Oryctolagus cuniculus: one gene and its partners. The protein of the gene in region 1 interacts with the protein of each later gene in a pairwise test. Links are inferred from orthologs where the notes say so. Each region holds a gene or a part of one and is shown in the gene's direction. Other genes may lie near its edges. The genes, in order: ADAMTSL4, AQP1, SHFL, CREB5, FBXW5, TOP3B and MAPKBP1.

What was found.
Region 2: the proteins of ADAMTSL4 (region 1) and AQP1 interact in a two-hybrid assay, tested with the Homo sapiens proteins (2 studies listed by BioGRID and IntAct). The link is inferred for Oryctolagus cuniculus from reciprocal best matches to the Homo sapiens genes ADAMTSL4 and AQP1.
Region 3: the proteins of ADAMTSL4 (region 1) and SHFL interact in binary tests that used the Homo sapiens proteins (3 or more experiments, as listed by UniProt). The two-hybrid records come from large-scale screens. The link is inferred for Oryctolagus cuniculus from reciprocal best matches to the Homo sapiens genes ADAMTSL4 and SHFL.
Region 4: the proteins of ADAMTSL4 (region 1) and CREB5 interact in binary tests that used the Homo sapiens proteins (3 or more experiments, as listed by UniProt). The two-hybrid records come from large-scale screens. The link is inferred for Oryctolagus cuniculus from reciprocal best matches to the Homo sapiens genes ADAMTSL4 and CREB5.
Region 5: the proteins of ADAMTSL4 (region 1) and FBXW5 interact in binary tests that used the Homo sapiens proteins (3 or more experiments, as listed by UniProt). The two-hybrid records come from large-scale screens. The link is inferred for Oryctolagus cuniculus from reciprocal best matches to the Homo sapiens genes ADAMTSL4 and FBXW5.
Region 6: the proteins of ADAMTSL4 (region 1) and TOP3B interact in binary tests that used the Homo sapiens proteins (3 or more experiments, as listed by UniProt). The two-hybrid records come from large-scale screens. The link is inferred for Oryctolagus cuniculus from reciprocal best matches to the Homo sapiens genes ADAMTSL4 and TOP3B.
Region 7: the proteins of ADAMTSL4 (region 1) and MAPKBP1 interact in binary tests that used the Homo sapiens proteins (3 or more experiments, as listed by UniProt). The two-hybrid records come from large-scale screens. The link is inferred for Oryctolagus cuniculus from reciprocal best matches to the Homo sapiens genes ADAMTSL4 and MAPKBP1.

What each region holds. Positions count from the first base shown.
Region 1 is NC_091438.1:47,452,929-47,457,081, reverse strand, and holds the start of ADAMTSL4 (ADAMTS-like protein 4), read left to right. Parts: upstream 1-1,353; 5' UTR 1,354-1,401; exon of another isoform or gene 1,402-3,565; 5' UTR 3,566-3,639; coding exon 3,640-3,656; exon of another isoform or gene 3,657-3,909; coding exon 3,910-3,964; exon of another isoform or gene 3,965-4,153. UniProt on the Homo sapiens protein: Positive regulation of apoptosis. May facilitate FBN1 microfibril biogenesis.
Region 2 is NC_091447.1:22,131,184-22,134,683, forward strand, and holds part of AQP1 (aquaporin-1), read left to right. Parts: intron 1-3,207; coding exon 3,208-3,372; intron 3,373-3,500. UniProt on the Homo sapiens protein: Forms a water channel that facilitates the transport of water across cell membranes, playing a crucial role in water homeostasis in various tissues.
Region 3 is NC_091447.1:67,206,277-67,210,566, reverse strand, and holds the start of SHFL (shiftless antiviral inhibitor of ribosomal frameshifting protein), read left to right. Parts: upstream 1-1,490; 5' UTR 1,491-1,774; coding exon 1,775-1,795; intron 1,796-2,291; coding exon 2,292-2,415; intron 2,416-2,544; coding exon 2,545-2,594; intron 2,595-3,807; coding exon 3,808-3,846; intron 3,847-3,946; coding exon 3,947-4,096; intron 4,097-4,290.
Region 4 is NC_091447.1:20,394,552-20,398,051, forward strand, and holds part of CREB5 (cyclic AMP-responsive element-binding protein 5), read left to right. Parts: intron 1-660; coding exon 661-769; intron 770-1,674; coding exon 1,675-1,838; 3' UTR 1,839-3,500. UniProt on the Homo sapiens protein: Binds to the cAMP response element and activates transcription.
Region 5 is NC_091432.1:237,322,419-237,326,057, reverse strand, and holds the end of FBXW5 (F-box/WD repeat-containing protein 5), read left to right. Parts: intron 1-226; coding exon 227-653; intron 654-730; coding exon 731-878; intron 879-958; coding exon 959-1,171; intron 1,172-2,491; coding exon 2,492-2,735; 3' UTR 2,736-3,139; downstream 3,140-3,639. UniProt on the Homo sapiens protein: Substrate recognition component of both SCF (SKP1-CUL1-F-box protein) and DCX (DDB1-CUL4-X-box) E3 ubiquitin-protein ligase complexes.
Region 6 is NC_091452.1:28,916,221-28,919,720, forward strand, and holds part of TOP3B (DNA topoisomerase 3-beta-1), read left to right. Parts: intron 1-511; coding exon 512-708; intron 709-1,038; coding exon 1,039-1,195; intron 1,196-2,089; coding exon 2,090-2,203; intron 2,204-3,304; coding exon 3,305-3,395; intron 3,396-3,500. UniProt on the Homo sapiens protein: Releases the supercoiling and torsional tension of DNA introduced during the DNA replication and transcription by transiently cleaving and rejoining one strand of the DNA duplex.
Region 7 is NC_091443.1:64,889,677-64,893,176, forward strand, and holds part of MAPKBP1 (mitogen-activated protein kinase-binding protein 1), read left to right. Parts: intron 1-251; coding exon 252-412; intron 413-1,121; coding exon 1,122-1,311; intron 1,312-1,799; coding exon 1,800-1,946; intron 1,947-2,167; coding exon 2,168-2,343; intron 2,344-3,124; coding exon 3,125-3,216; intron 3,217-3,403; coding exon 3,404-3,500. UniProt on the Homo sapiens protein: Negative regulator of NOD2 function. It down-regulates NOD2-induced processes such as activation of NF-kappa-B signaling, IL8 secretion and antibacterial response. Involved in JNK signaling pathway.

The sequences.
Region 1 (4,153 bases):
AAGCAGCAGCGAGGGCTCAAGTAGTGGGGTCCCTGAGGACCCATTTTGGAGGTCTGGACTGTGTGCCCAGTCTTCAATTCAGCCTCGGCTCTGGCAGAGGCTGGCATCTGGAGAGTGAGCCAGTGGGTGGGAATACACTCTCTCAAACACATACAACTTGGAAAACATATTTATTTATTTATTTATTTGAAAGTCAGTTACAGAGAGTGGAAGAGAGACAGAGATCTTCCATCCAGATGGCCACACAGGCCAAGGCTGAACCAGGCTGGGTCTCCCATGTGGGCAGCGGGGGTCCAAACACTCAGGCCATCTTCCACAAATGGGATGCCAGTGTCTCAGGAGGTGGCGGCTTCGCCAGCTACACCGCAACACAGGTCCCAATAAATAAATTTAAAACATTGAATAGACTCACCAAAATGCAATTCATGAGTAGCAAATAAAAACGTTTTAAAAAATTAAATACTAGTGACCATGTATCATCATCTACTCTGTCAGTCATTTTACATAATTTCCTTTTTAACATAATACACGGATAACGCTTCAAGCTTAAAAATCTAAACAGCACACGCAGTGTTAAGACGCGAAACCCTTTCTCTTCCCTGCTCCAAAGACGCATTCCTCCCCAGCGTCCCCAAGGCTGCCGAGGTCGGGGTGCGTTCTTCTAGATGCAACTGGACGGACAGCCGACTCCAGGTCCGTCACCGACCCCGACGTCCGGTTGGCCTCTGCAGCACAGAGAGCGAACCGGACAGCGCCGGAGCTGCCATTCGGCGGCAGGCCGGCCCGACGCATACACCGGCGCGCGCTCCTTCCGCTACGCCCTGCATGTAAAACTTTATGGTGGAGGAAACCCAGGCTCCCAGAACCACCTGGTTCGCCGCCAGGGCCCAGAGAGGCGGCCGCGACTGACCTTGGTCTGTGTGCAGGAGCGCGCCCTGGCCGACGGGGGCCGGGAGACGCACAGGACCATTTGCATGCACCCTGCGTGCGGCCTCCCTCCGGGCCCGCGCCTCGCCCAGGTCACTCAGGACCAGGCGCCACCTGGATCCCGGCCGCCCCTCGAGGTCACCCCGCTCGGACGGGCGCAGCGCTGGCACAGCGGGTGCTGGGGTCCTGAGCCCCGGGAGCGACTTCTGCCTCAAGACGCAGCCCCGGGTGGGTGGCACTGGCGCGCGGAGGCTGTGGGGTCGACCGTCCCCACCCCGGGACCGCGGGCAGGGGCGCTCGGCGGCCGGGGGGGCGGGGCGCCGGCGGGGCGGGGCGCGGGGCGGAGCCGCGGCCGGAGGCGGCAGCGTCCGGAGCCGGGCTCAGGGGCTGGAGTGGCCGCCGCAGAGCAAGGCTGCCCCGAGGGAGCGCCGGGGCGCAGAAGGGCCACCGTGCCGCCGGGGGCGCGCCGAGCAGGTAGAGACCCTCCCCAAGCCCCGGCCCCGGCCGCCCCCTGCCCACTGGGTCCCGTTAGACCACCCGGCCCGCGCACCAGCCCGCACCGCCCTGGCCCCAGCTCCGCGCGGTCGCGCCCCCGCCGGGACCCCGGCCCCGGCGCTGATGGTCTCGGAAGATCTTCTAACCCCTGGGGTCGAATTCCTGGGGAGGGGGTCTGATCCCGTGTAACTCTGGCTCCATCACCCGCGCGGGGAATGAGCCAAGATTCCTACTAAGTCACATAGTGAAGTTGGAAAACATACCCAAGACCTCCCTGCAGGCGCGCTCGCCTCCTGCCCTTGCTGCTCTCGGAGGACGTGTCCTTCCTGACACCCCCTCACTCCCGCAGTTGGGAATAAGGTCGCTGGGAGGGATGCAGATGGGCGCCTTGATGCCGCTCAGCCTGATGGCGAAAGAGGTTGACGGAAAAGAGAGACACCTGTTGCGATGGTTCCCCCAGGACCCAGGGTTGAGGGCCGGGTGGGAGCAAGAGATTCTGACCCAGGACAGGGGCTGTCCACCGCCAGCCCCTCCCCTCTCAGTGACTCCTGCCTCGTGAGGGGGCCGGCCCTGCAGGTCTGTTCTTTGATCTTCACTGGCCAGCGTGAGGAGGTGTGACCAGGAGGTGCCCAGGTTTTTCCAGATCAGGATCCAGCCTGGCACTGGAGTGACCCCTTCTGCTTTCTTTCCTTACCCAGGGCAGCGAGACACCAGAAGAGGGGCGTGCAAAGGGTGAAAAAGCACAAATGTGTGTCTGTTTCGCAGAGGAGGGGGTATCGGCCCCCTGCCCAGCTGTGCAGGGGAGGGCAGGGTGGGACTTTTCCAGAGAGGGAGCCAGGCCTGGCCCGCGCCCCGGGAGCTCACGTCACCCCCACCCCTCACTTCTCCAGGGAACTGCCGAAGCCAAGCCCCGCTCGGGACAGGATTATATGTACTGGGGAGACCGGCAGAGAGAAGCAGAGGCAGAGCGGGCGTGGAGGGGGCCCCTGCGTGACCCCCACCCACCTCTCCTCCCCTCAGCCTCATCCACAGGCCTGGGGCTGAAGGTCTGCGTAGAACATGGGCCCCCGCCTCCCGGCGCCCAGCAGGGCGGGGTGGCTGACCTCAGTGGTCAGTTCAGCCAGGGCCATCAGCAGCCCCTCCCCAGCCCCGAGCAGCAGGGGGACCCTGCCCACTCCGGGTTTCAGGGAGGGGAACAGGGCCGCGGGCTGCCACCCCCGGCACATTCCTGCTCTCCCCATGGTGCTTCTGCTGCCCCTGAGCCGGCCCACCTCGCAATGGCTCCTTGGAACCCTCTCCCGGGTGCCTTTCAGATCCAACAGAAACAGGGTTGGGTTTTTTTTTTTTTTTCCTGGAAAGCAGAACTAAGAGCAGGATTAGGAGTGGGGGCAGGAAGGGCTCAAAGTCAGAAGGTGTTGGGGGGGCCTGCAGGGGCAGGGAGAGTCAGGCTGAGAGCAGGCTAGACTGCAGGATGGACTTCCCGGCTCTGCGGGAGCAGGGGCAGTTCTGCACCTGTCCTTGCTTAGGTCCCTGCAGCCTTCCCGGCTGTGCACAAAGCAAGCCTCAAGCCGGAGGGGTGCTGGTGCCTAGAGGGGAGGTTGAGTCACCTGCTTCTTCTTTATAGAGATTAAACCACCAACCCACTCAGTTTATCCCTTGGCCAAAAAGTGTCTGAGGCAGGCCGAGCTGTGCCTGACTGTTCCTAAGGAGCTTAGCTAAGAAGGGAAGACAAGGCTGGGAGGCAGGAAGGATGCAGAGATGGCTTGGGAAGGGGCTCGTTCTCGGAAAGCTCATGGGACTTGTCAGGGTGAGGTGCGGCGTCCGGCCCGTGCTCACCTGAGCCTCCCTCAGCTTTCCAGGAGGGAGGAGTGGGGCCAGAGGGACCCATCTGAGGATGTTGGCTTAGGAACTGCCCCTAGAGGGGACTTAGGGAGGGGCTGAGAAGTTCCTGCAAGGGCCAAGGGGGAGGGGCCTGAGCCTAGCTTGAGTCGGGAGGCTGAGGTCAGACCCCCACCCTCCAGCCCTAGCCCGCGGCCAGGGCAGCAGCCCCTAAACATCCCGAAGGAAGGTGGGGGCGCCCTCCCTCCCGGCCTCCCTGTTTCCTGGGGGCTGGGAGGTAAACGCCAGGCTTGTGTTCCCGCAGAGCGTACCCCTCCACGCCCTGATGCCTGAGTAGTGTGCACCTCCAGGCCCCTCCTCCCTTGCCAGGGGTGAGAGATGAAGTGGGCAGGCTGGTAAGAGGGGGGCCACCTGGATGGGATGGGGGGACCCCGGGGGGAGGGAGGGGTGGCCTCGGCCCTAGGGCGCGGGAAAAGGACCCCTGGGAGGGCTGGGGGAAGTGGTGACTTCTGCTTTCCAAGACCTCGGTGGTCAGGATATGGGAGCCTGTGGGTGTTGGGGGGCGGGGAGGGGCAGTGTCGCAACGCCTGCCCTGACTCGGTTCTGACGGTTCTGACGGCCCCTCCTGCCTTTGGTTGTGGTTTGCAGGCCCCGGCTGTGTCTGATGCTGCTTCTGTCCCTTCCTCAGCTCTGCCTGGATCAGGTGAGCCCTGGATAAGAGCGGCCCTGCTTGCCTGCCTGGCAGCCTCCTGTCCCTGGTCGCATGCCCGACCTCGCCAGGCCATCTCCATGTCCCCCAGCCTCAGAGCCACGTCCTTCTCACTCCTACTCGGCCCACCTAGCATCCCCCACCCCCCACCGACCCCCTGGCTCCCTGTCAAACACCATCAAG
Region 2 (3,500 bases), on another chromosome or scaffold:
GCTGTGGGTGCCGCCATGCCACGTGCACACGGCCCCTAAGCTTCCCCACTGCCCAGTGTCGAGTCCCACAGGCACTGGGCAGGTATAGCAGGCCCCCATGCCCCCTGTGCCCTGTTCTTCGAAAGCAGATGCTCAGAGACTTGGCCAGGCCTGATTCTGGAGTCAGCTGCTCCGTAATGGTGGGTGTGAGGGTGTCCAGGCCGAGATGGGGGTCCTTCCTGGGCCTTGGAAACTCCCCTGCTTGGCCTGCCCATGGATAGCAGGGAGGGCCAGAGCCCACTTCCCAGAGAGGTCAGTCCTGGAGCCTGGGACATGCAGGCAGCCAGCTCTGCCAGCTCCCCCGTCCAAGTGGGGCACAGCCTGGTCCCTTCGCTGGGCTTAAGGGCAGCCAACATATTGGCCTGTGAGTGTAGGGCAGCGCTGACCCCAGGGCAAGGTCCTGGCTTGGCTGTCCACTCCTTGAGCTTCGGCCAGCCCATCTGCCATCACCTCCAACCCTGGCATAGGCCTCCTGGGTGGGCCCCAGAGCCTATCGCTTGGCCATCACCTCCAGCTAGCAGGTAAACAAATGGGCCCAGCGTGCAGGGAGCCTGCCCGGAGCTGGCCTGCCCCTGGAGGGAATGAGCTCTAGACAGTTAGCATCCTCCACCACGCCCGCCTCCACTCAGCTGGCCTCTCTCCATGGAGGTTTGGACAGAGAGTTCCTAGCCTGGAGCGAGCAGGTGAGGCACCCACAGAGAGGCAGGAGGTCCCTGTGGGTGGGGCAGGGTGGGCAGAAGTCAAAGTTAGTGGGGGATGCAGGAAGGTGCAAGAGCTGGGAGGGTCTGCAGCCGCCTTGAGCAGGGGCCTGAGATGGATTCAGTGTCCAAAGCGGGAGCTGTATCTTCCTCATGCTTCCAAGATCTATGGATTTTTCTATAGCTTATACGTGCGTTCACAAAACTGTTGGTTACTTTTTCCCCTAAGACCTCAGCTGGGTCCAACTACATGGGAGCGAGCAACATTGTGTTATTCCCCAAGTACCAAGTGACTGCAATCGGGATGGGCTCTCTACCAGCACTTGTTTCACACCCAGTGATTTGTGCACAGGAGTGCTAAGTTCTGATTTTTTGCCTGCTCTTTCATGGACATCAAATTTCAACAGCTCTTCCAGGCCTCCTCCAATCCTGATGAATTTCATCCAGATCTAAGTGATGTCAGGTATTAGGAGGTTGGAGGAAGGCAGTAGATGGTGACGCAATGGGAGAGGAAGGTTGTAGCCCCCGTGGCTCTCAGCTGGCAGGAGGCGCACTTTGGGGTCCCCAGGGCAGGTGGCTGGCTTCTCTCCTCCCCGAGGGCCCAGAGCACTGGGCCCTGAACCACGACTCCCTGCTCTGCTCCCCTGCAGGAACAGGGGTGCCTTCGGAAAGGGTTGGGGCTCTCAGAGCTGGTTAAGAACCAGCGGAGGAGCTGAGCTGAGCTGGCCCGGGCCGTGGGTTGGGTGGGGAGAGTCTGAGGCAGGAGCGCCGCTTAGGGCATCAGCTCCATTAATCAGCCAGGAGGAGCTGTCACAGGACGCCGGCCAGCAAGCAATTAGCTGATCCTGGAGAGCGGAGCAGAGCGCTGGAGAAGGAGCCTCTGAGGGGCGTGGCCTCATAGGTGTGTGGAGGCTGGGCTACCCTCAACTTTGGGCCCGGCCAGCCCTGCCTCCATTCACCATCTTCACACCTCTGCGCAGGCTGGGCCCCTCCCCCACTTCTGCCCACCCCTGAATCCTGCAGATGCCATGAGAAAGAGCCAGGACAACAGCCAGCAGCGCTGCCCTGGCTCCTCCTGCCTTGGACCCCTTCCCTTACTCCTCGGACAGCTCCCGCTGCCTTTGAACCTCCTGGCTGCTCTGGACAATGGGCAGGGACAATTAAATCCATTTTGCAGATGGGAAGACTGAGGCCCAGAGAGGACCAGGCCATGCTAACAGCGCCCAACCTTGGCGCGCCAGCAGAGAACTGGGCATTGCCAGAGGGCTGGCTGGCCAGAGGGCCCAAAGCTCTGGAGCTGGGCCGCAGACAGGGGAGGGGATGTGACTCACTCCCTGTAGCCGAGTGCAGCAGACAAAGGCGGGAAGAGAATTGTTCTTATTAAGATGGCCTCAGGGTGGGGCTGGGAAAACCTCTGGAGGGGTGGGGGGTGCCCCCCACCTAGGAATCTGCAAAATGTCCCATGACCGTGAAGACGCCCCATGGCCTCAGGACTACGGCTTGTTGGGACGCAGCTGTCCTGCCGGGGGGAAGGCGGCTCGGTGGCCACATCGGTGCATCTCTGTGCTGGGCCTCTACCAAGTGGTCCAGCACCCCTGGAGATGGGTGCACGGGGCGTCGGGGGGCAGGGCTTCCTGGGGAGGGGTCTGCCTGGTGCGGCTGTGGGAGACGGGGCTCCGGTGACTTCATGGTAGCTCCCATTCCCTTCTTTTTCCATGAGTCATGTTTCTAAAAGTGGCCCAGGAGCAAGTGGCAGCCAGACGGCGGTGGCGGGGGCCTGCGTGGCCAGAGAGAGTGAGGACCAGGCCAGGCCAGCGGGGAGGGAGCGTGCAGAGAGAAGAAGAGTCAGGAACGCCAAAAGAAAACAGGAGCAAGACACTGGGCCACGGGAGACCGGGAGGGGCAGCGGAGACGGAGGGCGGAGGCAGCAGGGGGCCCTGGCACAGAGGAGACCGAGACAGAGGGAGCCGCGGGGCTAAGTGGAGCGGGCTTTCCCTAGCTTTGGGATTCGGGCATGCAGCAGGGGGTGGGTGGCATGTTCTGGACTTTGGGGGTAGGAGGCCATGCCCCCCCCCCCAAGCTGGGCCGTCCTGTTCACTCCTCCTCTTCTTCCACCAGTGCCCCCGACTCTCTCCTCCCACACCTGGGGCTCGCCCCTTGCCGATGGTTTCAGGTACCCCAGCCTGCAGGGCTGCTGTGCCCCAGGCCACTCAGATCTGCAGGCAGAGCTGGGGAGGTCTAGGCTGGCCCCGGGACCAAGCCGTAGTGTGGGAGAGGATGAGGCCGATTGTGGCCGCCTGCTGTGTGTGTCTGGACGGGGCCTCTCTGGGCACAGCAAAGGGCACAGCGCTCGTCTCTCTCTGGAGGCGCTGAGTCTGGTTCTTGGTGCCTGATCCTGGGAGGCAGGGGGACCTGGGACCCAGTCCCTGCCTGCCGTGCTCACTGGGCCTCTCTGCTCCCGTCCCCACAGCTGGCCCCTGGCGTGAACTCAGGCCAGGGCCTGGGCATCGAGATCATCGGCACCCTGCAGCTGGTGCTGTGTGTGCTGGCCACCACCGACCGCAGGCGCCGCGACCTGGGCGGCTCAGCTCCCCTTGCCATCGGCTTTTCTGTGGCCCTGGGACACCTGTTGGCGGTGAGCTGGGGGGACTTTCCCTGGTTGGGGTGGCAGTCAGGGAAAGCCTTGCCCGGGGCTGTGGGTGGGGTTATGGATGGAGCAGGTCAGCCTCAGGGGACTAGGGGACCTCCCGACCAGCTTTCTGG
Region 3 (4,290 bases), on another chromosome or scaffold:
AAGTCTTGTAAGTCAGCTAGAGATGGCTTCAACTCTACGGGAGGGTCACCATACCCCCGAGAGGAATGCCAAAAAAAAAAAAATTATTATTACAGAGGTCTTCCATCTGCTGATTCACTTCCCAGATACCTGCAGCAGCCAGGGCTGGGCCAGGCAGAAGCCAAGAGCTGGGAACTCCATCCGAGTCTCCCTCGTGGGTGACAGGGGCGTGCCTGTTGTAGGATTGATGAATCCTATGGTAGGCATATTTTTAACTTAATAATTGATTTTATTTATTTGAAAGACAGAGATCTCCCATGCGCTGGTTCCCTCCCCAAATGCCTACAACATCCAACACTGGACCAGACCAAAACCAGGAGCCAGGAGCTCCCTCCAGGTCTCCCCCAGAGGTGTTAGGAGCCCCGTGCACCTGCCATCTCCTGGTGCCTCCCAGGGTGCGCATCAGCAGGGCACTGGAGTCGGGAGCTGGGATTCAAACCCTGGCACTCGAAGATGGGATGCCAGCGTCCCAGGCGGCAGCAAAACCTCTGTGCCCAACACCGCCCTGTGTTCCAGCAGTGTCCGGAGGCCACTTCTGAGGAGGGCCACGACTCCGGTGGCATCTAGGGCATGGGGGCCGGGGACAGATCCCCATCGCAAAGAGCTACTGGCCCAAAGTGTCCGCAGCTCTGTGCAGGCGGCTGAGAAAACGCAGTTGCTTCTTTCACCTGACTCCATCCTCACCAGCTATGACCTCAAACTTCTGGGGCTCTGTCCAAGCAGGAGATGATGTCCCCAGGCCGAGGGTCCCAGCTAAAGGCTCCCCAGGCCCCTCTGCTGGGGCCCCATGGGCCCCTCAACCGCCCGATTGAGAATGCAGATTCCAAAGCAAGCATTTGGCTTGAGAGGGTTAACGGGACACATGAGAGGCCTGCATGGCATGAGCTGAACTCCTGGGCTCTGATCCAGGTCCCAGTTCCCACTATAGCACAGCCCTGGGAGGCAGCAGGTGGTGGCTCAAGCACTTGGGTCCCTGCCACCCACGTGGGAGACCCGGATTGAGATGCCTGCTCCTGGCTTCGGCCTGACCCAGGCATTTAGGGAGTCCACCAGCAAATGGGAATGCACTCTCTCTCTTTATCTCTGCCAGCCAAATAAATAAAACTTTTAAAAAATAAAATGCACATTTCTAAAGCGCCCCCCAAAAGCTGGGGCCCATCACCCTGTGTTTTTCACAAGCACCTATGGATCATTCCCATTTTACAGAGCGATAAACTGAGGATCAGAAACGTCACAGTGGCCTGTCAGGAACTCAACAGCAGGGGAGGAGGGACCCCCCCCCACAAACCCCCCCAGGTCCTAACAAGCGCCCGGTCCGTGGGAGCGCACGCGGGGAGTGGGGGGCGCGGGGACCCGCCGCTGCCTTCGGAGGCGGCCCCGCCCCCACGGGGGACGTGAAGACGCGGCCCCCGCGCAGCGTGGGGACATGTGACCGACTGCAGAGGCCGCGCCGCCTCCCCCGCCCGAGGTGCGCGCGCCCCGCCGCAGGGCGCAGACCCCGCGCGCCCGCCTGGGTTTGGGGCGCAAGTGCAGAGGCGGAGCCGGGGCGGAGCCAGCGCACCCGTTCCCCACTTCGGAACCGAAAGCGAAACACCGGGCCCGGGCAGAAGGGCGGAGCCGGCCGCGAGACCCCGCCCCCTGCCCTGCGCGGCGGCCGGACCGACGGGCGCGCCCAGCGAGGAGGGCGGCTGAGCCACGCAGTGCGGACCCTCGCGGGGACCTGCGCGCCACCACCATGTCTCAGGAAGGTGTGGAGGTAGGCGATGGCCACGGCCGCGAGCCGAGGGGCCCGCGGCAGGCGCCGAGGGGGGCCCGGGGGCGCCGAGGGGGCTCCGCAGTTCCTGGGGGACCCCCATCCGCATCCCATCCCATGCTCAGGGCGAGCGCCCGGGCCCCCTCGGAGAGGAGCGCGCCGCTCACGTCCCCCGCCTCCGGAGCGAAGCGCGGCCTCCCCCCGAGGAGAAGCGGGGGCTGCGGGGTCAGGGGTCAGACCCAGGCCTTACCTGTGCGCCCCGCCCGCAGGCTGGGACCCGCGCCCGCCATCCGCTCCCACCCCCAGACCCTGTAGGGACTTGGGGGTTGTGCAGGAAATGTCGTGGAGAGATGGTGGGAAGGGGGGAGGGGGCGGAGGCCAAAACCAAGGCTAAAGTTCAGGCCCCAGGAATGTTACCTGGAGTTGGGGGAGGGGCGGCGGCTCGTCCCTCCCCCCCCCACCGGAGCCCACCTGTCCCCCCCCCCCCCCCCCGTCCCAGTTGGAGAAGAGCGTCCGGCGCCTCCGGGAGAAGTTTCATGGGAAGGTGTCGCCCAAGAAGGCCGGGGCTCTGATGAGGAAATTCGGCAGCGACCACACCGGCGTGGGTCGCTCCATCGTGTACGGTGAGCGCGCGGGGGTCCCCGGCCGGCGCCGAGGGGGCGTGGCGCGGGAGGGCCCAGCCGCGGGAGGGTCTAGCCGCGGGAGGGTCTGGGCGGCGCAGGCCGCTCAGGGGCCCTGTCTTATCCCGCCAGGGGTAAAGCAGAAGGACGGACAGGAGCTCAGTAATGACCTGGACGCGCAGGTAACCTGTCCCCTGGCCTCCAAGGTCGGGGTACCGGGCGGGAGAGCCGGGGGGACCCTCTGGAGCGAGCAGGGCTGGCCACACACAGCACCTTCCTCAATCATCGGCTGGGCCAGGGAGCCTGCAAACAGTAGGTGCTCATTAAGTGCTGATTGTGTTCCATGGAGCGGAGCGGACGCCGCCATTGGTGCCAGGGAGCCCAGGAAGTCAGGGAAGACTCCCTGGAGGAGGTGATGCAAAGCCTTGACAGGGAGGAGTGAGCCCTGGAATGGAAAAGCAGGGGAGGGGGTGACAGGTAGCATAGGCTGGGAGAGAAGAGGGGGAACTGACCCCAGAAGAGGCGGGAAGGGGGAAGCGGCTAGGGCGTCCTTGTGTTGAACGAATGAATGAGTGATGACTGGCTTTGTGTGGGAATGGCTGGATCTCACCTACCTGGAGATAAAGTGCGCATCCTAATCTTTATAGGCATAAAGCATGTGATAGAAATAATCACAGAGGGTAATCATTGACCCGGCACTTCCCCGAGGGGCCAGGTTCCAGGAACTGACTTGTTTGATCACCACACGAGCCAGGACCCATTATTGATCAGCCCATTTTACAGACCAGTACTGAGGCACGGTGGTGAAGTCATGCTTTCTCCAGGGGCCCCGGGGGGACGAGTGGTTTGCCCACGTTCTCACAGCCGGAAGTGCCAAAGCCAGGACTTGAACCTGTGTCTGTTCAAATCCAGAGCCCCAAGCACTAGCCGAAAGCGACGGGGCCTCAAATAGGTGGCGAGCTGGTGTTTAGCGCGAGGCGGAATGCCTGGTTGGAGTCCGGCTCCGCCTCTTCCGGTCCAGCTTCCTGCCATGGGCACGCTGGGAGGCGACAGGGATGGTTGAAGAGCTTGGGCCCCTACCGCCCACATGGGAGACCCCGATGGAGCTCCAGGCTCCCTGCTTCGGCCTGGCCCAGCCCTGGCTTTTGCGGGCGTTAGGATGATCTCGGGCAAGCCCTCCCCTGCCTCTGGGCCTCAGTTTCCCCATATGAGCAATGGCGAGAACAGGTGCGCCCACCTGTCGGGGCTAACGGAATGGCTAAGGGAAGCCATGTACCTGCTCCTTGCTGGCTGTGCACCTGCTCTGAGCTCTGGGAGGCCCCTCCCCCAGCAAAGGCGGGTAAAGGGGAGACCCGAGTGCCTGCCCCAGTTTCTGCCCCTGGCGTCTCCACGCAGGACCCCCCAGAGGACATGAAGCAGGACCGAGACATCCAGGTGAGTTGGCAGCTGGGCAGGGGGACCCGTGTGGGGGTGGCGGCAGACGTGTGCAAGGCAGAGGACGGTGACCCCTGTCCCCACCCTGCCCGTCCCGCAGGCCGTGGCCACCTCCCTCCTGCCGCTGACGGAGGCCAACCTGCGCATGTTCCAGCGGGCCCAGGATGACCTAATCCCTGCCGTGGACAGGCAGTTCGCCTGTTCCTCCTGCGACCACGTCTGGTGGCGCCGTGTGCCCCAGCGGAAGGAGGTGACCGCCTAAAACTTGACCTTGGTTTCTGTCCTGAACGCCACTCCTGACCCCTGACCTCTGACCTCCGAGCTTGACCCGCATCCCACCGGCTGACCTGCAGCTGCACTTCTGACCTCCGACCCCGCTGGTTGCGAATTGAACTTGACTCCAAAGCCACAACCCTAAATGTGGCGTCCAGGTTCCCCTGGGAG
Region 4 (3,500 bases), on another chromosome or scaffold:
CATCATGTCTTTTCATGCCTCCAGCTAAGTGGGCATCAGTCAGGTGGTAGCTTCCTTCTCAACTAAAGCCATCTGGAACTTCTTTGATGGGGGTGTGTACATTCTGATTGCATTGCACTCTGAAGGCACCAATCCTATCATACAACTCTTCCCACTGCATACGTCACAGCCTCCTCCTGGTTGGCAGGGTCAGCCAGCATTGCCAGACTTAGGAAAGCCATGTGCTAGGCATTGTTCTAAGTGTTCTGTATTCAGTTGCCTCATTCAACCCTCCCAACAAAGACTTACATCCCCCCATCATTATCAGTGAGGTTGCTGGAGTTCAGGTGGATTATGTTACCTGCGGAGTGTCACCCACTAAGTCTAGAGTGGGATTCTAACCTTCATTGTCTGGTTCCAGAGCCCAGCACTTAATGGATGTGCTGTGATTTTTGTAGGGTTCAGCTCTTGAGATCCAAGCTCGTCAGAAAGCCCTTGGTAAATGTGAGGGCCAAATTAAAGGCAAGCTGCAGATTTTCATAAGAACCTTACTAAATCATGGTCTTTAAGCCATTTGGATGTAGCAGAACAAAAAAATTTGCCGATTTGTTGAAGATGCATGGGGCTCTGGGTTTCTATTCTCTAATCTTCTCAATGTGGCTTTAATATGTCTCTTTACAGAATGAGGTGTCCATGTTGAAAAACGAGGTGGCCCAACTGAAACAGCTGTTGTTAACACACAAAGATTGTCCTATAACAGCCATGCAAAAAGAATCCCAAGGCTATCTAAGTAAGTCACCAACTTTTTTCTTTGAGTGTCCAGTGTTTTACCACTAATTCTGCCTTGAATTTTATAGAAAGAGCAAAAGTAAAGTGTAGATGGCACTCCCAGACAGATATCACACTAGAATTCTTGAGTGGCTTCCAGATTATTCCACGGGGGGTGGGGGGAATCCCTCTTTCTCATCCTTATCCAGCACCATGGCCACTACCGCCTGCTAATTTCTGGCCACACTTCCCCTGTCTTTAACATTATAAAATTCTACCCAATGTCAATGCTGTTGCCAGTGAGCAGAGAGTCTGCTGGAGACCATCTTCCAGTGACTTAGAATCTTGAGAATTCTGTGGGCTGGGAACCAGGCGGTGGGGACATTGCCTCCAGTACCCCAGGATACACCATATGCTCGTCCCTGGGCTACAAAGCTAGTGATCTGGCCTCTGTTTATCAGTGGATCCCTTTCCTTAGACCCCAATTTCTGCATCTGGAGGGTCATTCGATAAAATGCTAGTTCAGTAGGGGGTGGCGGGGAGGAGTAGGGATTTTTGACTGAAGGTCAATTTATTTTCAAATGATTTTTTAGATTGAGCAACACAGATTCTCCCACCACATGTGAGTATTTTTCCACATTTGATGTATGGTTATTGGAAAAGACAAGATGGGCTAGCTCACATACCAGGTCACAAACACATCAACCCATTTCGCTGATATAGAAAGCATGGCTTTGCTCGTAGCTCTACATTGGGAAGAGGCATAGCTTGGTGACACCAGGGTAAAGTCTTCAAATTAACTTGCAGAAGCCAATGTGGGAAACGCTTCTATTTCAAGTAAATACCTAATACCATTTTTCTGAAGAGTTTGCAAATCCACACAAGAGCGAGCTATATTGCGGTGTGTATGTGTGTGTTTTCTCCTAGGTCCAGAGAGTAGCCCTCCTCCAAGCCCTGTCCCAGCCTGCTCCCAACAGCAAGTCATCCAGCATAACACCATCACCACGTCCTCGTCGGTCAGTGAGGTCGTGGGAAGCTCCACCCTCAGTCAGCTCACCTCTCACAGAACAGACCTGAATCCCATCCTTTAAACTAATGGGCCACGCCTTGCTTCTAAGAAGACCTGTACCATACCACGCGTCCTTTCTCTTAAGGGCATTTTTAGAATTAACTCCAACCTGGAAGACTCCTCAGCCCTTCAAAGACTGGCTTTCATTTTTATAGTTACTATGGAAATGTTGTCTTTTATATTTAGTTATATAAGAAAAAAAGGGAGTTATGCAATTAATATCTATCAGCTTGGGAAATGCTTTGGTGCTTTTCTCCAATTTTCTGGTACCAGTTATTTGTTTATAAACTGAACCTTTTCTGTATATAGTCATGGTTTCATTCTTATCAGCCGAAGCCTTTGCCTGAAACAAGGAATCTTGTGAAACCACAGCTTTTAGCCAAAATGAGGCATAGCTAGGTGTCAAGTAGGACAGATCTAAGGTACCTGGGTAGGAATCTGGTGACATCCTAACTCATGTTGAGTTTGTGCTCTCTCACCAGAATCCCAGATACACACACAGCCTTCCCCTCTTTGACTAGAAACAATGTTAAGATCCATCAGTGTCCAAACGAAATCAGGAAGCATCTCAGCCCCGCTCTCCCTCCTCTTGGTCCACTTGCTCAAATACCCAGTTTTCCTCTCCATTTCCAGTTGGCCTCAGGCTTCCTGTTTGCTATTCATTTTGACTTTCCTCCTGTTTTATTGTTTTTCCCTTTAGCATTGCATGCAATGAAAATAATGTTTAAAGAAAGAAAAAGAAGCAAACCTCAAAAATGTGGACCTAGCTTTTCTTCACTTGCCTGTAACCCACAGCTGGAGTTCATTCAACTCTTGCTTTTCAAAAAATAGTAACTGGGAGATGTTTAATGTGCCTGATTTAATGTTTTTAATAATCAGAGCAAATAAAAGGTGGTTGAGTTACAGTGAAGCACTGTTAAATGCCAGCTGTGGAGACACTTGGGAGGGAATTCTATAAGCCTTGACTGTGAAAGTCCAAATTGAGATGCAAGGCTATAACATCACACCCTGGAATTACAACTGGTTTTATGTGGCCTGTCTATATTGTTGAAAATCCACGCGCTATATAATAATTCAGAAGGGCTCTATTCACTACACAGATTACACTATTCAATCATCAGCTGCTAATAGCCTAAGATTTATTATTATTATTTTTCTTAAGCCTGTGGAACTGGCTTTGCCATTCAGGTGGGTGTAAGCAAGCTGCAGAAACACAAAGAAAATCCTGCGTTTTCACTGGGTGCTATTAGCCTTCCGCGACAGTACAAGGGCCCTGTGGCTGCTGAAGGGAAGCCCCGAGTCTGGCACAGGCTGCTCCACTCCTCAACAATTCTGAGTTCTATTTCCAGTAACTTCCACAGACATAATCCATTAGCAAAAACAGATAGACCCCCAAACCACGGCCATGCCTCCTTCACACAAGCCATTGTGCTGTGCTCATGTTGTAATGTCACATCTCAAATGACAGGGGCCAAGGTTCCTCCCTAAAGTCTAGGCAGGTGCTGGTTTTCATCTCCATTGAATGCTTGATGTGTGTGTGTGTGTGCGTGTGTGTGTGTTTTACAAGAACAGTATTTTACAAAAGTATAGCTTTTATAAGGGTTCAGAAAAGGGAAGGATGTGCTTGTTTCCCTTACTACAGTGTAAGAATCTATTTTGGAGGGAAATAACAAGAAGATATGAA
Region 5 (3,639 bases), on another chromosome or scaffold:
GCCCCCGCCCCCGCCCACCGGCTCGCCCGCCCCCCGCCCCCGCCCCCCGGCTCGCCCGCCCCCGCCCCCGCCCACCGGCTCGCCCGCCCCCGCCCCCGCCCCCCGGCTCGCCCGCCCCCGCCCCCGCCCCCCGGCTCGCCCGCCCCCGCCCCCGCCCACCGGCTCGCCCGCCCCCGCCCCCGCCCACCGGCTCGCCCCGCCCCCGCCCCCCGGCTCGCCCGCCCAGGACGTGGAGTCGGAGAACGTGAACGTGGTGAAGCGGCTCTTCAAGATCCAGAACCTCAGCGCCAGCACCATCCGCACCGTCATGGTGGCCGACTGCTCCCGCTTCGACAGCCCCGACCTGCTGCTGGACGCCGGCGGCCCGGCCGCGCCCTGCCGCGTCTTCGACCTGGGCGGCGACTCCGACCCCGACAGCGACTCGGACGGGCCGGCCCCGGCGCCCGCCCCGCCCCGGCCCAGGGGCTCGCGGCGCTTCCCGGACGGCGCGCTGGACACGCAGGCGCAGCTGTCCGAGCGCGTGCTGGAGACGCGGGTGGCCGAGCTGCTGGCCCAGGGCCACACCAAGCCCCCCGAGCTGGCCCCCGCCGACGCCAGGAACAAGTACCTCATCTTCACCACGGGCTGCCTCACCTACTCGCCGCACCAGATCGGTAGGGCAGGGCGCGCGGGGCAGGGCACCCGGGCGGGTGGGCTGGGGCCTGCAGCCCCTCACGCCGGCCCCCCGCAGGCATCAAGCAGATCCTGCCGCACCAGATGACCACGGCGGGCCCCGTGCTGGGCGAGGGCCGCGGCTCCGACGCCTTTTTCGACGCGCTGGACCACGTCATCGACGTGCACGGACACATCGTGGGCATGGGCCTGTCGCCCGACAACAGGTGCGCCCGCCCGGCGGTGGGGGGCGGGGGCGGGGGAGAGGTGGGGGCGTGTCCCGCGCTGAGCGCCCGCCCCGCCGCAGGTACCTGTACGTCAACAGCCGCGCCTGGCCCCGCGGCTCGGTGGTGGCCGACCCCATGCAGCCGCCCCCCATCGCCGAGGAGATCGACCTGCTGGTGTTCGACCTCAAGACCATGCGCGAGGTGAAGCGGGCGCTGCGCGCGCACCGCGCCTACACGCCCAACGACGAGTGCTTCTTCATCTTCCTGGACGTCAGCCGGGACTTCGTGGCCAGGTGCGGGGCGGGGCGGCACCCGGGGGCCGGCCTCTGGGGCGGGGCGTGGGGCGGGGCCGGGGCGAGGCGAGGCGGGGTCAGGGACAGGGTGGAACCTGGGGGCCGGCCTCTGTGGGGCGGGGCCGGGGCGAGGCGAGGCGGGGTCAGGGACAGGGTGGAACCTGGGGGCCGGCCTCTGTGGGGCGGGGCCGGGGGAGGCGAGGCAGGGTCGGGGACAGGGTGGAACCTGGGGGCCGGCCTCCGTGGGGCGTGGCGTGGGGCGGGGCGGGGCGGGGTCAGGGACAGGGTGGAACCTGGGGGCCGGCCTCCGTGGGGCGTGGCGTGGGGCGGGGCGGGGCGGGGTCAGGGACAGGGTGGAACCTGGGGGCCGGCCTCCGTGGGGCGGGGCCGGGGCGAGGCGAGGCGGGGTCAGGGACAGGGTGGAACCTGGGGGCCGGCCTCTGGGGCGGGGCGTGGGGCGGGGCCGGGGCGAGGCGAGGCGGGGTCAGGGACAGGGTGGAACCTGGGGGCCGGCCTCCGTGGGGCGGGGCCGGGGCGAGGCGAGGCGGGGTCAGGGACAGGGTGGAACCTGGGGGCCGGCCTCTGTGGGGCGGGGCCGGGGCGTGGCGGGGCGGGGTCAGGGACAGAGTGGAACCTGGGGGCCGGCCTGTGGGCCGGGGCGGGGCCAGGGCGAGGCGGGGTCAGGGACAGGGTGGAACCTGGGGGCCGGCCTCTGTGGGGCGGGGCCGGGGGAGGCGAGGCGGGGTCAGGGACAGGGTGGAACCGGGGGCCGGCCTCTGTGGGGCGGGGCCGGGGCGAGGCGAGGCGGGGTCAGGGGCAGAGTGGAACCTGGGGGCCGGCCTCTGTGGGGCGGGGCCGGGGGAGGCGAGGCGGGGTCAGGGACAGGGTGGAACCGGGGGCCGGCCTCTGTGGGGCGGGGCCGGGGCGAGGCGAGGCGGGGTCAGGGGCAGAGTGGAACCTGGGGGCCGGCCTCTGTGGGGCGGGGCCGGGGGAGGCGAGGCGGGGTCAGGGACAGGGTGGAACCTGGGGGCCGGCCTCCGTGGGGCGTGGCGTGGGGCGGGGCGGGGCGGGGTCAGGGACAGGGTGGAACCTGGGGGCCGGCCTCCGTGGGGCGGGGCCGGGGGAGGCGAGGCGGGGTCGGGGACAGGGTGGAACCTGGGGGCCATCCTCCGTGGCGCGGGGCTCCGGGCGGGGCCGGGGCGAGGCGGGGCTGGGTGCGGTGGGACAGGGTGGAACCTGGGGGGGCCGTGCTCCGTGGGGCGGGGCGCCGGGCGGCAGAACAGGGGCGGGCAGCAGCCTCATCCCGGTGCGGGCCCACAGCGGGGCCGAGGACCGGCACGGCTACATCTGGGACCGGCACTACAACATCTGCCTGGCCAAGCTGCGGCACGAGGACGTGGTCAACTCGGTGGTCTTCAGCCCGCGGGAGCAGGAGCTGCTGCTGACCGCCAGCGACGACGCCACCATCAAGGCCTGGCGCTCGCCGCGCACCGTGCGCCTCCTGCAGGCCCCGCGCCTGCGCCCCCGCCCCTTCTTCTCCTGGTTCGGCTGCCACAGGCGCTGAGGGCCGACCTGGCTCGAGCCGCGGGGACACTGCCGGGGCCCCGTGGGTGCTCCCCGCGTGGGGTGGCTTTGCTTGTAGCAGGGATCCTCAGGAGGGGCCGGCCCGGCCCCCGCACGCACTCGCACAGCCTCACGTGGCCCGCGCTGCATGCGGCGGCCCCACACTGGCCGCGGGGCCAGCACGGCGTGCACAGGACACTGGAGGCCTCACTCCTCACCCACTCCCTCCCCCGGGCTGCGGGTGCACACGGCCCCAAGCCCGGCCACTCAGGACAGTCCCCACGCCTCGGCCCAGCGGACAGGCTCCCGCCCTGGTGACTTGGTTTGTACCGGCGGTGCTGGGGGCCCAGGGGCCTGTCTGCTGGCCACTGGCCCAGGGCTCAGAATAAACAGTTGCCAACAGCCCACCGACGTCCACCTCTGTGCAGGGAGGGGCAGCCCGGGCCCTGTCCCCAGCCTCCTGCCTCCTTGGCACCCAGGAGGCCTGTGCCCGACGGCATCCGGGCAGCTCTGGTGGGACAGCTGCATTCTGGGAGATTCCTGCCGAGGGTGGGGGAGGGGCTGCCCAGCTGGAACCTGCCTGGCCTCCCTCCCTCACCGAGGGCCCCCCCTTGTGGTAGTGAGGGGGAGGGTGGGGAGGGCGCCGGGCCTCGGGGGTAAGCAGTGGACACTGTGTGCCCTGCCTGCACAGGGGACCCAGCTGTTCCCCATGGCACGGGCGCTGGTGCGGGCACCTCCATCCTGGGCCGGGCCTTGCTGGGGACAGGTCTGAGAGGGGCGGCTGGGGCTAAAACGAGGGGCTCGTGCGCTGTGCAGATGAGCCCGGGACACAGCCCAGGGGCCTCCATGGCCTGGGCGCCAGCCCCCTGCAGGTGGCCCGGGAGAGTGGCGGAGGGTGCGCCGAG
Region 6 (3,500 bases), on another chromosome or scaffold:
CTCACACATTGTCCCCTCCCTCCGCACAGCCCTCCTAGTCTCAGCTGTGGGACCCCACACACCCCCACCCCCAAGCCGCAGCTGGGCCCACCTGGCCCCTTCCCACTGGCCATGGCCTTTGCCTCTGCTGGGCTTTTTTCCTGCCCTATATTTCTCCAGTTTCTTCAAAGTCTCACGTACCTACGCCCAGCACACCCTCCTCCTAAGAGTAGGCTTCCAGTGGATTTGGGGACTGCAAGGTCCCTTGTGTGCCTGGCAGCAGGGGGAGGAGCGGTGGGGGGCAGCTTGCAGGGCGGCAGTGGGGAGGGGCATGTGAATGGCAATGTAGCCGTGGGTGAGGGGTCTGCGCAAGATGGAGGCTCCTGGAAAGGCAGGAAGACGGCAGGGGTCTTGTTGAAGGGGGCCACACGCGTGCTGAGGCTGGGCCCCAGAAGGAGCCGGGCCTGACGGCTGAGGGGTGGGACAGGAGATGGGGGGCAGAGGCGATCCCAGCCGGATGGCTTCCCACCAGGTCCTTGATGCCGTCGTCCCCGTCATGAATAAGGCCCACGGCGGCGAGAAGACTGTGTTCCGGGCCAGGTTCAGCTCCATCACAGACACAGACATCTGTAACGCCATGGCCCGCCTGGGCGAGCCGGACCACAACGAGGCGCTGTCGGTGGACGCCCGCCAGGAGCTGGACCTGCGCATCGGCTGTGCTTTCACCAGGTGCGCTGGGTGCCTGCCCTGCGCCTCGGCATTTTCACTGTGCCGGCCGCTGCTGGATAGGCGGCGTGGGCCCACTGGCACGCGGGTCCTGAGGGGGTGTGGCAGGGCTACCCATTAGCAGGGCTCCCTGGCCCACTGGGACCCAGCTTCGTGTTCCTGTTGGCTTTCCCAGCCGTGCACGCGTGGCTCCTCCCCAGGGCTCCTCCCTGCCTCTTGCTGCCACCTCCGGTTGCCCTGCGCTCACCACCCCAGCCCCGGGGGCACTCACGGTGGGGTCTCAGGCAAATCCTTAACCAAATGGCTTCTCTCTCGCACCCCACCCTCACCCAGGTTCCAGACCAAGTACTTCCAGGGGAAATACGGCGATTTGGACAGCTCTCTCATCTCCTTTGGGCCGTGCCAGACTCCTACGCTGGGCTTCTGTGTGGAGAGGCATGACAAAATCCAGTCCTTCAAGCCGGAGGCCTATTGGGTGCTGCAGGCCAAGGTGCCTCCTCTGCTCTGTGTGTGTGTGTGTGTGTGTGTGTGTGTGTGTGTGTGTCTGGGTTTGGGGGGGGTGGACTCTGAAAGCCTTGTGTCATCACCATCATCCTCCTCCTGCAGGCCTCAGGGGTAAGGGTGCCACTGTGGGCCTGTGGTGCCCCCGGCTAGGCTGAGCCTGGGGACGCTGAATTTGGATGAGTGGGGACAAGGCTGGCTCTGGCAATCGAGGGTAAAATCACATCTGATCACTGGACCAAGGCCCTGAGCTTTTAAACTTTTTGGAAATTCTAGAAAGCCAGGTGTAGCAGTTCAGACAGTCCTGGGAACGCTGCGTCCCATATCCATATCCGAGTGGCTGGTGCAGGTCCCAGCTCTCTCCCAGTTCCAACATCCTGCTGATGCCCACCCTGGAAGGCAGTGGTGATGGCTGAAGCACCTGTGTCCCCGCCACCCCCTTGAGAGACTGGCTTCAGCTCCCAGCTCCCGGCTGTGAAGGCACTTGAGGAGCGAAATCGGCGGGTGGGACATCTCATCTCTGTCTCTCTGCCTTTCAAATAAACAAAAATAATTTTTTTAGGAAGTCCTAGGGCGCTTTCCTCAAATAAAACCCTCCACAGACGCGTGCTGTAGGATTTATAACATGACACTGGAGCTGCTGTGACTGACAGGGACCCTGGGTGTGCGGCAGAGGCTCAGGTGCTACTAAGGATGTGATACCGTCAGCCTTGCCACCCCACCCACCCTGAGCGAGACCAGGGCTCAGGCCGGGATCAGCACACCTGAGCAGGTGCAGACGCCAGCGCCAGGGCTGCGTGGCTCCCAGACAAGGCCCAGCCCAGGCGCTGGGCTCGCCGCCCGCTTCTCCTCATGTGTTCACCTCCTGTCCTCCGTCCTGCAGGTGAACGTCGACAAAGACAGGTCGCTGCTTCTGGACTGGGACCGAGTGAGAGTGTTCGACCGGGAGATCGCACAGATGTTCTTAAACATGACAAAGCAGGAGAAGGAAGCCCAGGTATGGCCCCGCCCCACCCACACCTGTCCCCCTGGCTCATGCATCCACTCCTAAGATAGTTCTCCCAACGCGGCAGCTGTGGGGCACCCATGTCCACACCTGGGACCTGCCAGGCCCTTCCCACGTGACCCAGTGGGCAGATGTCACAGGTGTCCCTTCTCTGTGATCTCGGGGGCTAGTAGCTGCAGAGGGACCTCTGTGATGAGCTTGGCCAGGGCCACACGGCAAGTTGGGGACTTGTCTGGGATCCATCCGCCTGGCACCTCCATGGTGTTGTATTTCCTGCTCAGAGTGTGTGTGACTCAATCTCAGGAAGAGGGTGGGGTGACGGGCACAGGGCATGCTCTGCAGATGCTCCGTGGCCCTGAAAGCTGCCAGAGCCATCAAGGTGTGGCCGGGCCACCTTCAGCCACCCTGCCCTTCCTCGCATGCCAGCTGGCCCACCCATGCAGCCCTCTCAGGCTCCAGAACTTCTGAAGGCGTTCCCATGGGTCGCATTCCTGCAGAGGCCCCGGCTCCGCCTCCAGATCACCCCGCGTAACCCTGGGCTCCACTGCTGCATATCCACAGGCAGCCTCAGCATTAGCACCCACGTTTGTGGGCCTGGAATCCGGCGTGGCCGGGGATTGGCCGAGGCCCAGGCCCTGGGCAGAGTCGCTGGGACTGTTTCTGCCTTGTCTTCTGATGAGTGCCTTCCAGAGGTGGAAGGGGGAGCTCACCAGCCAGCACAGCCCACAGATGGATCCCAGTCGGTCTTGCGTGGCGTTGCTGCAAGTTTCAAGAGAGTTGTCCACACTGAACAATTGTGTGATGTCACGTGAAAGTCCTGGCTTCCTGCCAGCCATGCCTGCAGCCCCTTCTTCCTGCCTCTTGCTCACTCCTCCGGGTTTTCTCTTCCCTAGACAATTATCTGGAAAAGAGGGCTTGTTGTGTGTCCCTTGCCGGTCCCAAACGAGCACTGAACCCGGTCTCCAGACTGCAGGGAAGAGGGGGTTTGAGAAGCAGAGAGACAAAGGAAAGCAGGCCCCTTGCCCCGTGCTCGGATTGTCTCTCTTCAGGCTCCTCCCACCTCCGCATCACTGCCTACGTCTCATCCTGCAGGTGGAGGCCACAAGCAGGAAGGAGAAGGCCAAGCAGAGGCCACTGGCCCTGAACACCGTGGAGATGTTGCGTGTGGCCAGCTCTTCTCTGGGTATGTAGGGCGTTTCTCTAGAGGCCCCAAAGACTGCTTGGGATGCACTGAGATGATTCCGTTCAGCCCCAGGGGTGCAGGCGGGGCTGACCCCCACCCCTGGGC
Region 7 (3,500 bases), on another chromosome or scaffold:
CCTAAGAAGGGCCCCTGATTCCCATCCCCCAACTGCACAGCACTGCGGCCCACCGGCCACCTGCTGCTGGAGGGAGGGCATCTCTAGATGACAATGCAGGGCTCAGAGCAGAGCAGCTGGGCTGATTTCCCCTCAGCCCTGCCTTGGCCGCTCTTTCCTCTTGGCCGCCGACTGTTGGTGGGGGGCTGGGGAGGAGATAGAAGCCTGAGTGGGCCGGTGGCCCCTGCTGAGCTCAGCTGCTCTGCCCACAGACCACAGTGGCCCACTGTATCTCCGTGAGCCAAGACTACATCTTCTGTGGCTGTGCCGATGGCACCGTGCGCCTCTTCAACCCCTCAAACCTGCACTTCCTCAGCACCCTACCCCGGCCACATGCCCTGGGGACAGACATTGCCAGCGTCACTGAGGCCAGGTGAGCTATGGGGGCCCCTGTCTCCATTCACAGCCTTGCCCAGTGCTCAGCCTCCTTGGCAGCGCTTTACCAGAAACACCTCTGTAGGCAAACACGTATACTTAGTGCAACCAAGGAGACTGCATATGGTGGAGGACCCGGGAATGTCAGGAAGTAGGTGTCCAGAGGGACTTAGTGGGTTTTGGGCTTGCAGGAGATGATGTTAGGAGTGCTTCAAAGGATTGAAGTTGTGTTCTGGTTGGATGCTGTCAGGAAGTAGACACACTTGCCCAGTTGGGTATCTTGATAGAGCCTGCCCAAGAAGTGGGAGGAAGGCTGTCATGCTGTAAAGAAACAGCCATCAGTCGTGTTAGATGAGGAAGGGCGATGTTCGGTCATTTTTGTGGTTTGTGTGGGGATCTGGTTTCATCTGTGTGCAGACATACTTGCAGAACAGTCTTGTTTTTGTTTTGCCCATGCTGACTGCAGAATTACCTTGTCTGCTGCTGCTGTTCTGTGGGTGTTTGCATTCATCACAAGAACACTTGGCCCCCATGGCCAGTGTTTGGCCAGCTCCCTGCTCCTGGAAGTTGAAATCCTTTTTCAGGCATCTACTTCCAAAGCTACAGCTCTAGTCAGGGCTCCCCACACCCTGCTCATCGCTTTGGGGGTTGGTTTCTCTCTTCATTCCCTTGGGTCTCACCAGTTTGCCCTGTCCTTTCCCCCACAGTCGCCTCTTCTCTGGAGTGGCCAATGCCAGGTATCCAGACACCATTGCCTTGACCTTTGATCCTACAAATCAGTGGCTGTCTTGTGTGTACAACGACCACAGCATTTATGTTTGGGATGTGAGGGACCCCAAGAAAGTGGGCAAGGTGTACTCAGCCCTGTATCACTCCTCCTGCGTGTGGAGTGTAGAGGTACGTGGGCTGGGCTGGCGGGCCGGGTGGAGATTGATCAGTTCTGCTGGGATAACTGTTGTGATGGCAAGAAGTGGGGATCCCAGGTGTCACTTTATGTTCCTGCTATCTCTCACTTTGGCAACATCTCTGTGATGGGTCCTGCGGATTGAGCATGAATTTTAGTGCTGCTGCATCTCCGGCATTTTCTAGTGTGCCCTATCTTTAGTTTCGCCTTCTCTGGGCTTGGTGATCTTGCACAAGTCATTGAACTTGACTGAGCCTCAGTTCCTTCAGCTGTAAAATGATGATCTGATTCACCTAACTGTTCTAAGAATAAAGTAAAATAAAGAAAGTGGGAGACATAGAAGAGTGCCTGGGGCATAGTGATGCCTGGTTAGCATGCTTTCCCTTAGTACTTATGATGAGTGTGTAGCAGTTATATCTACATTCTCTCTTTTCTTCAATTCCCTTCCTCTTCCTTACATGTATACCCCGTGCCCCTGCAGGTCTACCCTGAGGTGAAGGACAGTAACCAGGCCTGCCTGCCTCCCAGTTCCTTTATTACCTGTTCCTCAGACAACACCATCCGCTTGTGGAACACGGAGAGCTCTGGGGTGCATGGCTCCACGCTGCACCGAAACATCCTCAGCAATGTGAGCGCACAGGCCCTGGATCCCCACTCCGTACTTAGGACCTCCAGCCCCATAGCTTTTGTACCTCGATTTCGGGCCCTGGCTCCCCAGACCTGATCTCCCAGCCCTTACTCTGCTGGGCTCTGTGAGCCAAGGGTGTGTCTTGCCCAGCATTCGCCTCTCCCTTGCAGCTGTACCATGTGGAGTATGCCTTATCCACCTCTTCTGACCTGTTCCACTAGGACCTCATTAAGATCATCTATGTGGACGGGAACACGCAGGCCCTGCTGGACACTGAGCTGCCTGGAGGAGACAAAGCTGATGGCTCTCTCATGGATCCCCGTGTGGGCATCCGCTCGGTGTGCATCAGCCCTAATGGACAGCATCTGGCTTCAGGGGATCGAATGGGCACACTCAGGTAATGCCGGGCCTGAAGTGGGTGCTGCCTGCCTCCCGGGTGCAGGCTGGGCTAGTCAGGTCCTCAAGAGCAAAGCTCTATGGAAGCTTGTCTCAAAAAGGCTGGGGAACAATATGTTTGTAATCTACAAGGGGAAGATAGTGATTTTGCTGTGAAGAACCTTGACAGAGAGCATCCTGACCAAGTGATCAAGGTTAACATCCTCATATCAACAACGTGAAGCCCGTAACACAGTGTCCTAAGAAGTTTAGAACATGGTTTCTGTGGTAAACTTGCCAAAAATATATAAACCCAATCCAAACTGAGAAAGCATTGGGCAAACCCAAATTGAGGTGTGTACAACAGAGTAACTGGCCAATATTCTTCAAAACTGTTAAGGTTGTGAGAGGTAAGGAAAGGCTGAGGAACTGTTGCAGATTATAGGAGATTAAGAAGAAGTAGTAGCTAAACGTAGTCTGGACTCTGAATAGGATCCTGAATCAAGAAAGAGGACATAGTCAAAACAAAACAAAAACAAAAACTGGTGACATTTGAATCATCAGGTCTTTAATTAATAATTTGTGCTAACATAGATTTGCTGATTTGGATATGAAGTTATGAAAGATGTTAACATTATGGGAAGCTGGGTAATGGGAGTATAGAAATTATACCCTTTTTGCAACTTTTCTCTGGGCTGTAAAGTTCAAACACAGTTTAGAAAAAAAAAGGGGGGAGAGGAAGGCTGTGAGCCCCTCCGCCTGTGGGGTAATGGTGATCTCCCCTCATCATCTCCTCTTTGCAGGGTGCATGAGCTTCAGTCGCTGAGTGAGATGCTGAAGGTGGAAGCCCATGACTCAGAGATTCTGTGCCTGGAATACTCTAAGCCAGACACAGGTGAGGGTGCCAGAGCTCCTCCAGTCCTGCCAGGGCCACTTACTTCCATCTTGGCACTTGGGTGTCTTTGCATCCCTGCTCTATGGTTCATGGGACATGAGGCTCAGTTCCCTTGGTGCTCTTTGTTGGGCTCGGCTACGGATCCACTCAGGGCATTTGTGGGCTGATGGAGTTCTTCTAACCCCAGGTCTGAAGCTGCTAGCGTCGGCAAGCCGGGACCGGCTGATCCACGTGCTGGACGCTGGGCGGGAGTATAGCCTACAGCAGACGCTGGATGAGCACTC